Linked DNA regions of Elephas maximus indicus. The protein of the gene in region 1 interacts with the protein of each later gene in a biochemical or structural test. Links are inferred from orthologs where the notes say so. Each region holds a gene or a part of one and is shown on either strand. Other genes may lie near its edges.

What was found. The genes of interacting proteins can lie anywhere in the genome.
Region 2: the proteins of UPF2 (region 1) and UPF3A form a complex in vitro, tested with the Homo sapiens proteins (2 studies listed by IntAct, with this or other methods). The link is inferred for Elephas maximus indicus from reciprocal best matches to the Homo sapiens genes UPF2 and UPF3A.

Annotation. Positions count from the first base shown.
Region 1 is NC_064822.1:45,341,100-45,349,344, reverse strand, and holds the start of UPF2 (regulator of nonsense transcripts 2), read right to left. Parts: upstream 3,425-8,245; 5' UTR 3,350-3,424; intron 1-3,349. UniProt on the Homo sapiens protein: Involved in nonsense-mediated decay (NMD) of mRNAs containing premature stop codons by associating with the nuclear exon junction complex (EJC).
Region 2 is NC_064835.1:75,690,263-75,697,583, forward strand, and holds the start of UPF3A (regulator of nonsense transcripts 3A), read left to right. Parts: upstream 1-3,892; 5' UTR 3,893-3,943; coding exon 3,944-4,192; intron 4,193-5,790; coding exon 5,791-5,897; intron 5,898-7,321. UniProt on the Homo sapiens protein: Involved in nonsense-mediated decay (NMD) of mRNAs containing premature stop codons by associating with the nuclear exon junction complex (EJC) and serving as link between the EJC core and NMD machinery.

The DNA.
Region 1 (8,245 bases):
GTTATCAATTCTTACACATCCTCAATTAAGTAAAAAAAAAATACCCACCTTTAATGTGAAAAATATGGTCATGCCCTAAAAATCAGCAAACCTTTTAACAAATAACACTAACAGCTACCGCTCATCAGCACTGTGCTAGACATTTACTTACATTATCTCATTTAATACTAAAATCTTTATGAAGTGGGTATTATTTTCCCTATATTATAAATGAGTAAGCTGAGACTGGACCAAGTAACTTGACCAAGGCCTCCACAGCTAAAGACAGAGCTGAAATTTGAACTCACATTCTTAACCAAAGTTAAGAATCCTAAGGGCACCAAATTGTGAGTTGGAAGGCTTGATCATAGATCCTAACTATGACAAATTATAGAATTATGAATCTTGGGGTAGAAAGAGTCCCCTAATAATTAATGGTTAAGCAGTTTTTACATAATGTCTTTAACTTTTCCCAGATTCTGGCTGAAAAGCACGAGGACAAGATAGCACCTAAGTAAGCACAATCTTATTTAGGGATATTCGTCATTACGTGCAAAAAATTAAAATAATAATACAGAATTTGTACTTTCTGATGTGAAGCATCAACAAGTGAATTTTAGGGTTACAAGTAATTACAGTTCTCAGACAATATAAAAAATGGCATCAAAATTTATGTTTTATTATGAAGATAAAATGAAATCTTATCAAAGTTATTTTTTAAATTTTAAAAAGAAATTAGCTTGGAATCTGACAAATTCATAAAGGATCACTCACCATTTATTAGCTCAAAAGAGTCTCCCCCAAAGCTTTGTGACTCTATAGTATTCATTTACTTAATAAATTTTTATCTCAAATACCTACTACATGAAATAAACTCTAGTAGGCATTCATGATAATCGAGAACATGATAAAACACAAAGAGATTCTCAATAAGGCCCTTACATCTTGATATTGCTGTCTTCCTTGAATGATGTCATGCCTACATTATAAGCATATACTTGGCTAAATTTCAGTGAACAAGAAATATGACAAAAATCTAAAGGTTCACGTAGGGGCAGTATGTAACATGTGAAACTAACATGGGCTTTGGAGTCAGACAGACTTTAAGTTTGCATCCCAAACTAGCTATGGAAATTGAGCACCTTAATTTCTCTAAGTTTGTTGTTGTTGTGTGCCATGGAGTCAGTTCCAACACAGAAACCCTATAGGACAGAGCAGAACTGCCCCATAGGGCTTCCAGGGAGCAGCTGGTGGATTCGAACTGCCGACCTTTTGGTTAGCTGCCTGAGCTCTTAACCACTTTGCCACCAGGGCTCCCCAAGTCTATTTATTCATCAACAAATGGAAATATTTTTTTATCTTATAGAGGTCTTGATATAATAAAGTTTCTAGCATAGCAGACAGCATGAGGAAGCACTCAACAAATGCTGATTCTCTTTCACACCAAAAAAATACCAAACCCACTGCCATCGAGTAGATTGCCACTCATAGCAACCCTATAGAACACTGAAAAGTTATTTTAGAGTTAGAAAACCCATTAGGCTTCATCCATTCTGATTCTCTATTTCTACTCTGAGGTAGCAGCAGCAGAGTGATCTGTCCAAGATTACACAAATAGTGTGCGGGCTGGGCCAAGACTCACTGTCCAGTGCTCTTTTCCACTATATAACCTGACTTTAATATTTAGGAAACAAAATCTACAAATGACATAATTCAGATCACTACATATGTATACTAAGAAAATTTTAAAAATTAAGCTGAACATTAAATTAGGCTTAATTTAATGCTCAACTTAATTACTTAATACAATGCTAAAACTCTTTAATAATAAATTCATGCTTCAATAAACAGTCAAAGACTTTATCTAAGGTGTTTCAAAAAGTTTGTCAAGTAAAAACCAGAACGTTAAACAGATTTTATCTCAAAATAATCAAGGTAAAAATCAGTGCTCTTTACATTAGAATATGATAGCTCTAACAAGGTATTTTACCGAGTTAAGTAAAATTATGTTCAGACACCTCTGAAAAGGAAACCATGCTTTAAAACGCCCTTCTTAGCTCCCAAATGTGCCCTGGTGGAGCACTTGGGCTGTATATTTTATATGGTATTCTAAATATACATTGAAGTTACCAGTGAAATTATCTTACTGGTAAAAGAGGTACCAACAGAGTGGAGGGGTAGGTTTAAGGGGATATTTCCCTTTTAAAGAGTCTCCTTTGCATGAACCGTATGGATTATGTATGAAATCACTACAGAGTGAGAGAATAGTGTTTTACCTTTTAATCTCGTATTAGTCCAAATGTTCTAACTAAAGGGCAGAACCACACAGGAGCATTATTTCCCAGTTTTTAACTTTAGTCTTTGAAGAATGTCCTTAGAACAAAAAGAGACTCATTCAAAGTTTTTACAAATTCCACCAGAGTTCAAAAATGGTTTTCTTGAGGTGTCATGCAATTTTTATGAACCACTGAAAACTATGATAAATGAAAAGGGTGGGTGATAGTTTTACTTTGATCTGAAGCGCTACTATTTTTAAGAGTTGATGGTCCGGCCAGTCCAGTGACTACCCCTGGAGCCTTTAAGCTGGCTCTGCTTTGCCAATCTGGACACCGAATAGCCTATGATCATCTCCTTAGTCCAACAGTACTAACAAGAGAGTACCTGAAGCCTTGGAATGAAGGCAAAGCAAAGAATCAACCAGCCTTGTGATCAAATGGAAATAAACTAAATGACCCGGGTCCACCATCCTCACATACACCAAAACCCCTTCCCCTACACACACATCTCCCACCAACCCCTGCTTCCTCCACATTCCTGTATCAAACACACTTCCCCGCTACAACTTCCCTTCCTACGGCCACCCACGGGTGACCTTCGCAGACCATCCTTGCCCCAACCCCAACTTCTCACCCACACTCCCTTCACCACGGAAGACTCACCGCTAGTCTTCCTACTCTACATCTTCCCACACACTCGCCCTCCCCACTTCCTCGCCCTCGCTTCCCTCCCAGCTCTCCCAGAGCTTTCCCCAACCTCCCCTCGCTCTACTCCACGCCCCCAAACACCTTCACCCCGCCACAGAAGGCTCCCCGCCTCCAGTTCCGAGGCCCGGCCCAGGCGTGTGGGGCAGGCACCTCCTCTACCGCCCCTCAAGCCTGCCCCGAGCCGGATGGATGGGAGCCTCCGGGAGAGGGGTCTGAAGAGGACGACGCCGGACCAGCGGTCCCTCTACTGCTCCCCACCCCAGGAGAGCTGGGGTGCGGAGTCGCCCCTTGGGTCCCTCAGGGAGTAGGGGTCCAGGCCGGAGTCCCCCAGCCCCGCTTCCTCCCGATCGTTGGAGCGGAGGGGAAGGAGGTTCCCCGGGACTCACCTCGAGCCTGTTGTCAACATTAGCCCCGGGTTTCCCAGCACCAACTCCAGCGCTCGGGCTCTCCCCTCCCCTCCCCCCACCTATCTCGCACCCGAGGACCCGCCTTCCCTCAGCTCCCCCTCCTCCCTCCGCCCGACGGCCCTCCCGCCCGCCACTCACCAGCGCGGCCGAGCTGCGGGTGGGGGCGGGGCGGAGGGAGGCCGAAAGGAAGAGGCTGTCTGAGCGATTGCCAGATTGCAAAACAGTCCGAATCCCCCATCCCTCGGCATGCCAATGCCCTCAGGTTGGCTCTGCGGTGGCTGTTCCAGAGCAACGGCTCATGTAAGTGTGAGCCACTTAACGGCTGGTTCAAGGAGGAGCGAATTTTTCAGACAGGCAGCCAATGGGGCAGCCACTACTAACACCTCAGGCCAGGGCCCCGACAGCGGGGAGGAGTGTTCTGAGTACCGGAGGCAGGAAGTGGATTGGTCACTAGGAAAGGGAAAGCGCCCGAACTGGAGGTGCGCAGGCGCAGACACTGGAGGGAGGGGAACGAGAATGGGGTGGGGCGGAGCTAGCAGGAGGTAAGAAGGGGCGGGGGGGGGAATTACGGAGCGCCGTTAAGGACAAGGTTGGCCATGTGACTGTTACAGGAGTTTCTAGATGCGAACGTAAGGAAGAGGTCTAAGAAGGGAAAGTTTGATTGGACTAATTTGAGGGAGGTTGAAAATTTAGGAAATTGGAAAGTGGGGAGGCTATAGAATATGGCTGGAAAGGAAGGTGATTAGGGATGGGTCTAGATTTAAGAATGCCTTAGTAAGACTACAAAAGTTCCGTGGGGGAATTTCCAGAGCAGTTTTAGGTGTTCGGTATAAATATATCCCAGAGTGAAGAGTCAAGACTTTTCCCATACGGCTTAGAAAGTGCCCGGTACTAGCAAGCAAATTTTAAAATTACAATGAAATGTTCTTGAATTACTGCGCAAAATCTCCCTTAAAAAAAAAAATCGGCAGCTCCCATGTTTCCTCCAAATATAAACTCGGGTCGAGTTTTCAAATGGGTATCAGAGTATCCACACACTATTTAGTTCCCCTTAAATTCCTGAAGTTGGTGCCTCAAAACAGTGCTAGAGAGGCTCTGCCAACATGATCATGAGCCAAAGGAACATGGTCATGAGCCAAAGGAACAAAGGTGTAAAGCTGGTCTTGTTCATTGCTTGACCTGCAGCGCCCTACCAGGTATCCAAGCCTACGGCATTAGCTGCTATCCACCTCCAACACTGGAGGCAGGTATTTATTGTTGTTAGGTGCCGTTGAGTCAATTCGGACTCACAGCGACCCTATGCACAACAGAACGAAACACTGCCGGGTCCTGAGCCATCCTTAGGATCGTTGTTATGCTTGAGCCCATTGTTGCAGCCACTGGGAGTGTCGTCTTCTTTTCCGCTGACCCTGTACTTTGCCAAGCATGATGATGTCTTTCTCCAGAGACTGATCCCTCCTGACAACATGTCCAAAATATGTAAGACGCAGTCTCACCATCCTTGATTCTAAGGAGCATTCTGGTTGTACTTCCAAGACAGATTTGTTTGTTCTTTTGGCGTGGTATATTCAATATTCTTCACCAACACCACAATTCAAAGGCATCAACAAGCAGGTCTGGGTTCCCTTTAATTAGCTTTTGCTTATTTGCTTCTATTTACTGTTTTGTCTTCCCGTTGTTAGCACACAAATTCCCTTACCAAACTGAATAATTGGTGCCTCTCTCTCTCTCGTATTAAAAAAAAAAAAAAAAAATTTTTCCAAAACACCAAATAGGTCAATCATTTAAAAGGTAGTAGTTGTGTGCTGCGACCATTCAAACTCATAACCCAACTCAACCCATTGCCCTGGAGTTGATTTCCAACTCATAGCGACACTATAGGACAGTATAGGGTTTCCAAGGAGCCGCTAAAAACCCAGCCACTAGTGGATGCAAATTGCTGACCTTTTAGTTAGTAGCCAAGCTGTTTAACCACTGCACCACAAGGGCTCCTCCCAGGGTCCTTAAACAGTAGTAAAGAGACAAATAATTGCTCTCAAAGTACTATGCTTGCCATAAATAGCCACCCACATTTCTCTTCCAAGTTTCCTTTTTCTTAATTTGCCTGAATACTTTAAGAAGACTTGCCTCTGCTGTTGATACATAAATCCTTCTCGCCCCATTCAAATCACATCAGCCTTTGCATTTCATCAGGTTGTTAAAAGGAAATCATGTGAATACAGGTGTTAAGCAATTCCCAAGCCTGTACAATGGTCCAAGACTTTTGTGCATCTTATCATTAAATATACCCCTGCAAACCAACCTCATTAATCTCAAAAATCCCCCTCCTTGTTTCCCAAGGACCTTGCTCACTTTAAGGTAACAAATGGTAGGTGTTTAACCTAAAAGGTTTTTTTCCCCAAGACCTGAATCTCTAAGATTTTGTGTATTTCATGCAACATGTTCTTTTGCACCACTGTATATCCTTCAAAGAACCAACTGTGCATTGTAAATTGGATATAAGCAAAAAACTGCTTTGCAATAGCCACAGCAGTTTTAGAACTCACTGCCTATTTGCAGACATCTCTCTTTCTCTCTAATAGTTGATCTCTTCAATTGTCAAAATCTCACCGTTTTTAACACAGAGATCGGAAGAGAGGAAAGCAAACAAAAAACCAAAGCCATTGCCTCAAGTCGATTCTGACTCATTGCGATCCTATAGAACACAGTAGAGCTGCCCCCATACGGTTTCCAAGCCACAGCTGGTGGGTTCAAACTGCCAGCCTTTTGGTTAGCAGCTGTAGCTCTTTGTCACTACACCACCAGGGCTCCAGAAGAAAGGAGGAGGGCATTTTTATTGAGCATTTGCTGTTTTTGTTGTTGTTGTTAGGTGCCATGGAGTTGGTTCCGACTCAGCGACCCTGTGCACAACAGAACGAAACACCGCCTGGTCATGCACCATCCTTAAATTATTATGCTTGAACTCATTGTTGGAGACACTGTGTCAATCCATCTTATTGAGGGTCTTCCTCTTTTCTGCTAACCCTGTACTTTGCCAAGCATGATGTCCTCCAGGGACTGATCCCTCCTGACAGCATGTCCAAAGTATATAAGATGCAGTCTCGCCATCCTTGCTTCTTAGGAGCGTTCTGGTTGTACTTCTTCCAAGACAGATTTGTTCATTCTTTTGGCAGTCCATGGTATATTCAATATTCTTCACCAATACCATAATTCAAAAGGCGTCAATTTTTAAAATAGCATTTGCTAGTTTAATTAATAATCATGAAAATCTTGTAGGTATTATGATCTCCATTTTGTAGATAAGGAAACTGAGTCAGAAAAGTTACCCAAAGTCACTAGTAGCCATAGTATCTAGTATTCAACTCAAATCTAATTCCAAAAGCCAAGCTCTTTTCACTATATCCTGCTACACTTATGTAAGCTTTTACATAGACTGAAAATGCTGCTGATCATTTTTATCAAGCTTGCCACCAAAAGCCTTCTGATGTGGGGACATCACTGACATCGCTAACTGAAGAGACATGCCACTCTAAAGAGGTCATCATTTTTGCATTCTAATAATTCAAACCACTATTTTCTGAAAATATATTGTACTAAGCATTTAACTGGTTATGTAGATACTTCATTATTTGAGAAAATTCTCAAAAATATCCAGTATCCTCCTTTTTGCTTGCTCCAATTGACAGAACTGACATAACTACCATATGGATTTAAAAAACAAAACAAAAACAACAACAACAAAAAAAACTTGCTATTTATATTGCTGTTTATATAAACTTACACTATTTTCTACTTAAAACCTAGCCACAATGTTGCTGCTTCACAGAAGAAATCAAAGTCAGAGGACAGAGATTACAATTACAGGGCAAAGCAAAGCCTGACTTAAAAAAAACAGGCATCAGGTGAGGCTTACCAGCTCTAACTACAGCCTATACCCACTGACCTCAGGCCAATATAATACAATGATGTGGACTGCCTGCAGATGTGTGCCAGACCTTGAACAAATTCAACTTCTGCCTTTTAGGAGCTGAAGTTTAGTTTAAAAGCCCTTTCATGACTGAATTATTTTTTATACATGTCCCCTTCAGACAGCAGGATGTATTATAAATTGGGCACTAGCATCCCAAGAACCATAGAGGCAAAGAATTTAAGTGGGACTTGGATTTCCTAGCAATCAGACATGAGCACATACTATAAGTGGGGCACTAGCAGCCCAAGAAACCTGAGAAGTCAAAAATTTTAACTGCCACCCCAAGTTTCCTGTCTAATCTTTCGAATTGCTGTTGTCAATTTCATTCCATATAGATAGATTTTAAAAGAGCACAATACTCAAGGCAAACATTCTTTACTAGTTAAGCTAAACTATTGCTTGGTTTTCAGAAAACTTCAGGGGATATTTTTAGTTTGAGGTTTAAGGTTTAAAGATGATCTCAGGGCAATAGTTTTAGGGGTTCAGCCAACCTCTCTGACTCCATAAAGTCTGGATCCCATGATAATTGGAAATTCTGTTCTACATTTTCCCCCTTTTGATCAGGATTCTATAGAATTTTTTTTATCAAACTGGTCAGTAATGGCAGCTAGGCACCATTCAGTTTTTCTGGTCTCATGGCAAAGAAGGCAGTTGTTCATGTAAACAATTAGCAACCCATTCCGTTTACTCCTATTCCTGATGTGTTTTTTAAGTGAGATATATAGTGTTTTTATACTCAGAGGGCAAGGAGATATTAATGATAGCAGGGAAAGACAAAAAAGATAGCCGTAGGAGAAAATCCTCGTGGTGGTAGGAAGGACAGAATCTAGAAGTACAAGTGGAAAACTACAAAAAAGAAAAGTATGTGGAAAAATATACCATGCTCATGGTTAGGAACATTCAAC
Region 2 (7,321 bases), on another chromosome or scaffold:
ATCACTGCCATCTACCAGTTAGATACGGGTTACCATGTAAAGTGTAGCCTTTTATGACAGTCATGTACCCAGAACCACAGTCATTCCAAAATTCCTGCTCTGTTTTGGCTGCAAAGTTTTGTGCATACACATAAAGCAAAACATTTTAACAGGTTGGGTAATGTGTAAGAAGCTAGACTTCTTTGTAATACGCTTATTTTCTCACGTAAAATCATAAGCTTCTAAGTGTATTTTGTTCACTCTATCTTGAAATTTGTATTATGAGATCTTATTTAAAGAATAATTTTATCTGACAAACCTGAATTCTAAAATTCTGTAATTTTTATGAAACCATTTATCAGAACATTATTTGTGAATAATAACAAAGTGAAAAATCAGAGTTTTAAAACATGGACAGTGGTAGCTCTTGGGAAAAAATATTTGGGCATTTTGCTAGCCAGATTTACAAGAAATACACATTCTTACTATTTGGAAAAAGAAATGAGATTTGATTTTTAAAACAACTTTATCAGGATTTAATTCACATACCATACAATTCACTCATTTAAAGTTTACAGTCCAGTGGTTTTTAATATATGCAGAGTTGTGTAACCTTCACCATGTTAATTTCAAAACACTTTCATCACCCCAAAAAAGAAACCTTGTACCGATGAGCAGTCCTCCCTGTCCCCTCCCTCACAGTCGTAGGCAACCACCAGTTTACTTTCTGTATCTAGTGATTTGCCTATTATGGACATTTCATGTAGAGGGCATCATACCATAAGTGGCCTTTTATGACTGGCTTCTTTCACCTAGCATAATATTTTCAAAGTTCAAGGTAGCGTTGTAAAGTGTATCAGTACTTTATTCTTTTTAATGGCTGAATACTATTCCACTTTGTTTTGTTTCCCAAAGCAGCTGCACCATTCTGTGTTCCCACTAGCAGTATATGAGGATTCCAATTTCTCCACATATTCACCAACACTCATTATTTGTCTTTTTTTGATTCTAGCCATTCGAGTGGGTGTGAAGTGGCATCTCATTGTAGTTTTAATTTGCGTTTCTCTGATGACTAATAAGGTTGATTCATGTGCTTATTGACCATTTGTGTATCTTCTTTGGAGAAATGTCTATTCAGATCTTTTTCACATTTTTTAACTGAGTTGTCTTTTTACTATTGACTTTTAATAGCTCTTTATATATTCTCGTAAGTTTCTTGTCAGATGCATGATTTGCAAACGTTTTCTCCCATTCCGTGGGTTGTCTTTTCATTTTCTTGGTGATGTCCTTATAAGCAAAAAAGTTTTTAATTTGATAAAGTCCAACTTATTTGTTGTCATTGTGCATTTGGTGTCGTATCTAAGAAACAGTTGCCTTATCCAAGCTCATGAAGATGTACTCCCACGTTTTCTTCTGTTTTATGATTTTAACTCTTACATTTAAATCTGTGATCCATTGTGTGTGTGTGTGTGTGTGTGTGGTGTGAGGTAGGGATCCAACTTCATTCTTTTATATTTGGAGATCTAGCTATCCCAGCCCCACCTGTTGGAAAGACTGTTCCTCTCCATTAAATTGTCTCGGCACACTTATCAAAATCAATTGACCATAAATGTAAGGGTTTTCTTCTAGACTCTCAATTCCATTCAGTATACAGGGAGTATACTGTAGATATTTTGAAGGAGAAAAAATAAATGGGCCAAGTCATGTGAAAAAGACAAAGAAATATGATACTTGTTCTGCAAGAGCTTATGTTTTGTATGTTTCAGCAAACGTGGGTACCTGTTAGGTGCCAGATACAGACCTGGGCTGGGGAGGAATAAATGAATAAATTCATAGTTTCTGTTTTCAGTGAAGTCCCAGTTCTGAGTGGAAACTGCACAGAAAGTACCTCAACCCTTATTGTACAATGTAGTAAATAGAGAAAGGGAGGTATGCTCAAGGTTCTGTGGAAGCTCAAATGAAGGGCCCTCACCTTGACTGGGATTCTGTTGGTCTGAGAGAACGTAAGAAAGGTGGACAGAACATTCTAAGCAGAGGGCATAGCATAAGTCCTGACTATAGTGGTGGTGGGAGACAAAATATGAACACAAGAAATATAAGACATTGCATATGCTTTGACCTAATGACAAGTGGGAATGAGTTCTTTCCTCCACTTGACAATTTTTGTGAGTTTTAGCTCAGTAATAAAGGAATTCCTCTGAAGCAAAAGTGCTTCAGTAAGATTATTTTATAGACAGGAGGTGTGAGGTTCAGAATCCATTTTATTATCCCAATTTGGAAACATGACTAAAAAACTAAAATCCTGAGTTTGGTGATAGTTTAATCTGAAAAATATTTAAAAAGAGGGAAGACCTGCAAATAGAGAGTAGTTTTAAAAACATATATTCAAAATATATGTTCTGTATTTAAAGACTGCTGACACATCCCAAATTTAAAAAGTTTCCTTTTTTTTTTTTTTTGCCATCAGCAACCCTCTTTAATTATTCTGCTCCTACTTCCCACTCACACTATAAAAGATTTTGTCTGGCAATCACATTTTCCCACTTTTTATCAAAGATAACACACTGTCAGAGCTTTTGATCCACATAGCTTTATCATATACTAAATTGATTTGAGACAAAAGGAAAAAAGCTGTTGGCCTAGCCTGTGCCACCGTATCATAGGTGCATTTCTAATAGTATTCCTTTAGGTTTTATGGATTACTGAAAAGAGCTCCTGGCCACCTTTGTGGGGTTTTAGAGAACTCAGGTTTGGAACCACTTTATGAGCCTTTTGGCCGATTTAAAATATCACCTATCAAATGTGGTCACAGATAGTGGCTAAAACACTGGATTGAGCTAAGAAACCTGGATTTACTTCCGGTTGACTGCCAGTGACTCCTGTAAATCTCTTAATCTGTCAATCTCTCAGTGCTTCAGCTGCTCCATTCTCTAGTCGTTTGTGTGTGTCCTTGAAACTCTTGAAAGAAATGTGTTATAAGTTAAAAAACACGAGAAAATAGCAAAAAAAAAAATGGAATTTCAAGATAACTTCCAAATGATGCTAATCAAAAGTGTTACTGGCTGCTTGTTTGTTAAAAAGTAAATGTGAACCCAGTTTTAATGTCCCATTAGTTGGAAGCCTTAAAGAGCTGAATAAAAATTATACTGGAAAACCTTAAGGCCCAGTATTTCTGGAAGCATTTATTTTATCCCGTATAAGAAAGCCATGTACCAACTTGCGTCAGCCACTGGACCCTTTTTTTTTTTTTTTTAACTGTAATTGCTGTTCTTTAATAAAATGTTCAAATATCTTTGGAAAAGAAGAAAACTGTAAATATTCAGCACACGTATTTCTCAGGAATGTTTCGCCCAACAGCCTTCTATGTTTAGCCTTCTATTTGGGGAACTGAGATTCAGCAATGCAGACCCAATTTTATGAGCTCCTGCTTACGCCAAAAACTCTCTGGTTCTGAATTTCTGTGGAGCTGTGCCTGTCACCTGACCAGCTGAACCGTTTAGTGGCCAAGAAGCTAAAAAGAGGAGATGCCATTATTCCCTTCTTCCTTCTAGTTTCCCGGCTTCTTGCATGCGGAAAGCGGGTGCAATCCCAGCCACCGCCACGCCATCTCTGTAAACCAGTGTTTCTCCAAGTGCCCCGCACGCAGGACCACTGTCAGGGCACACTGGGGGTGCTAGCTGAAAGCGAGGGCTCCAGGGCCACACCTGAACCCACTGTGTCAACCTCTGGTACCTGGCCCCAGAGTCTCGCCCCGGCCTCGCCGCACACCCCTGTCCCTCCCTCGGTTCCCCTGCCCCGGGGTGGGCGTGCTCCCGGGCCTGGGGACGGACGTGCAAAGCCGTGGGAAGGGGCAGAGGCGAGAGGGGCGCGGGCGACCGAGAAAACGTGGCATTCTCGCGAGGTTTCGGCCGAACTCTCGGGGTCGGGGGAGGCGGGGAGGCGGCTGCCCCGAAGCGGCTGCGAGATGCGCTCGGAGAGGGAGGCGGCTGGTGGCGCCGGGGCCACCGGGGCTGCAGTGGCAGCTCGAGGCTCGAGTGGGAGGGAGAAGCCGTCAGCGCTCACTCCCCGCGGGGGGCCGGCCATGGAGGTCCAGTTCCGCTGGGAGTCGCCGCGGCGAGAGCCCGAAATGCCGTCTGCCTCCGCCTCCAGCTGTAGGGGTGGTGGGGGCGGGGCGGGCAAACCTCGCGAGGAGAAGAGGACGGTTCTGAGCAAGGTCCGGGAAGGGGGCGGGGCGAGGACGGGGGAAGGGGAGGGGCGGGGCGAGGGCGGGGCGGGGCGGTGAGGGGGCGGGGTGAGGACTACGGAGGGGCGGAGCACCTTCAGGACCCCGGAGAGCGCCCGGGCAGGTCTCTGATAAGCGACTGACAAGAGTTGGGGAAAGGGATGCTGAGGGAGACAAAGTTTCCTGCACTTTCTGACTTGGTCTTTTCCGACTCAGAGGAAGAAGAGCCATTTAAGTGAATATATTAAAAAAAAAAAAAAAAAGCCGTTTGCCGTGGAGTCGATTCCGACTCATAGAGATCCTATAGGACAGAGTAGAACTGCCCCATAGGGTTTGGCTGGTGGATTCAAACTGTTGATCTTTTGGTCAGCAGCCGAGCATTTAACCGCTGCCCCATATTTTTCAGATGGATTTAGAATCCTTGGCTTACCACCATCAGACAGCGTGTTCAAAGCAAGAAATTTCACTCCTTCTACCCCTTCTTCCTTCCCACCCCGTACTATTTCCGGTTCCAAACCGACATTATTACTAATGACCACCCCTCTAGATAGGATTTAAAGACGCCTCAAAATCTGAAACATGAGACTGCTGAGAAGCCCCCAAACGGGTCACACGAAGGTAGACGATTACTTAGTTGGCAGAGTCACATTCAGAAGGCTGGTACATACCGATCTAATCAAATAAAGATTTCCAGAGAGGAACTGGAAATGGCCACTGCAGAAAAGGATTACCAGATAACCCTGATATTACTAGCATAAGAGACAGAGAGGAATGAACGAACACTGGAGAAAGAACTGCCAGTAATACGTATCAGAGAGGTGAAAGTGCCCACCACAGGCAGCCAAAGTGCTGCAGGTCGTGAAGCTGGCCAAGAACTCCTACTGGCAACAAGAACAAATACACTTTACTTTTTATTGCTTGCATTTCTCTGAATGTGTTTTCCCTTCTAATACTAATTAAGGTAGAGTGTGGAGAAGATTTCATTTTTCAGTGCTGGCACAAACAGTACATATCATATGCCAGCAGTTTTCTCGATGTAGTAATAAAATGCTTACATGAAAAAGAGCTGTGTTATACACAGCCTTTTCTGACCTCACTGATAACTTTTAAATTACTCAGCCATCTGTACCCTTTGACCACCATGTTCTCTGTGCATGTATGTCTTAACCTTTTTTCTGTGTGTGTTTCTGTTGGACTCCTGGTTTAGATTTTCCTCTGTGCATAAATATAGGGGATCAAGCATTCCAACAATTGACACTTAATAAAACCCATTAATAGTGAAAACAAAATCCAGTCAGCGTCGGTTTTACCTTGGTGCTCCTCAGGTCGTCATACAGTTTTACCTTGGTGCTCCTCAGGTTGTCATACAGTTTTATCTTGGTGCTCCTCAGGTTGTCATATGGTTTTACCTTGGTGCTCTTCAGGTTGTCATACGGTTTTACCTTGGTGCTTCTCAGGTTGTCATACAGTTTTACCTTGGTGCTCCTCAGGTTGTCATACGGTTTTACCTTGGTGCTCCTCAGGTTGTCATACGGTTTTACCTTGGTGCTCCTCAGGTTGTCATACGGTTTTATCTTGGTGCTCCTCAGGTTGTCATACGGCGGCTTCCTCCCAGTCTCACCAAGGAGCAGCTGGACGAGCAGCTACATCCGCTTCCTGCACACGACTATTTTGAGTTCTGTACTGCCAATCTTAGGTGAGGAGACACGTTAAGCTTCAACATTAAACAGCTGAGAGGTGTTGTCAGTTGATGGGCAGTTGTTATAGATAAGGGAAGGCATCCTTTTTTCCATATTCTCTACCAAATGTCCGCAGAAATCGGTACCGTTCTTTATTTTTGCAGCTCACTTCTAAGTAGGCAGATTACTAAAAAAAAAAAAAAATTTTCCCCTAAAATAGAATTTTGGAATATACTTCTACTGTCACCACCAGAGTATAAAAGGAAAAACAGATTTACACCATTATTACTTAGCTTTTGAACCTTGTTTCCTGTAGCTTGTTAAAGTAAATTATGTTGAGATATCACAAAATAAATGAGTATGTTATAAATGTGTAACCTGGGGAATTTTCACAAGTGAACAAGCTTATGTAAGTAGGTGTCAGTTACATAAAGAAGCCAAATATTTCCAGGACCCCAAAAGCCCCTTGTGCTCGGTTCTATCACTAACAGCCTCCCCTGCCAATTGTATCTTTTTCAGCACTCTTTTACAGTTTGATAATAGGATGACTAGCCTCACTTTAACACTTACTAATCTCCTTCTTAAAAGAGAGGCGACCTCAGCTCAGACCTTTAACAGACAACAGGGCAGCTAGAATTTTGTGATTTTTCACTATATTATTGTCTTCGTTATCATGATTTCCCATTTATGGTAGTCATGTAAACTTTCCTTTTGAATAAATGCACGCATTTAAGTTAAAAAAAAAAAAAGATCCATTCAGAGAAAAATATTACTAACAGGCAAACATAGATGTAGTGAAAAACAAAGGTGGTTTTCAAATGACTGAAGTTGAGGAAAATACTGGTATGTTAAAAGAGAACAAGCCTGGGAACTAGAATGATCTAGACTGGAACCCCAGTCCCACCTTTTAACTAACCATACCCTCTAAACCCCAAAAAAAACCACTGCCGTCAAATTGATTCTGACTTCTAATGATCCCATAGGACAGAGCAGAACCGCCCCATAGTGTTTCTAAGGAGCAGCTGGTGGATTGGAACCTTTTGGTTAGCAGCTGAGCTCTTAACCGCTGCACCACCAGGGCTGCACCGTACGCTTGACAAGCACCTGATTTCTCTGAGCTTCAGTGTTCTCATCTGTAATATGGATCGAAAGCACCTTTCTGTGAAGGAAACTGGGTTGCTGTGGGACAGAGGAAAAAGCTTAATTCTTCCAGTAGACCCCACTGAGCCTTTTGAATTCTGTACCATGTGCTACAATAAATACTCCTAAAATATCTAAAAGTGTTCTCTAAATAGTAAAGAATCCCTTTTACGATATAAATAAATCATGATTAGAGTTCTATGCCAGTTGTGACTCATAATGTAGGAATAACATTTTCTTTGGTGTTTTAACCTCTGAAGACCAGTATTTTAATCCTGGCTTTGTGCAATAAACAAACTGT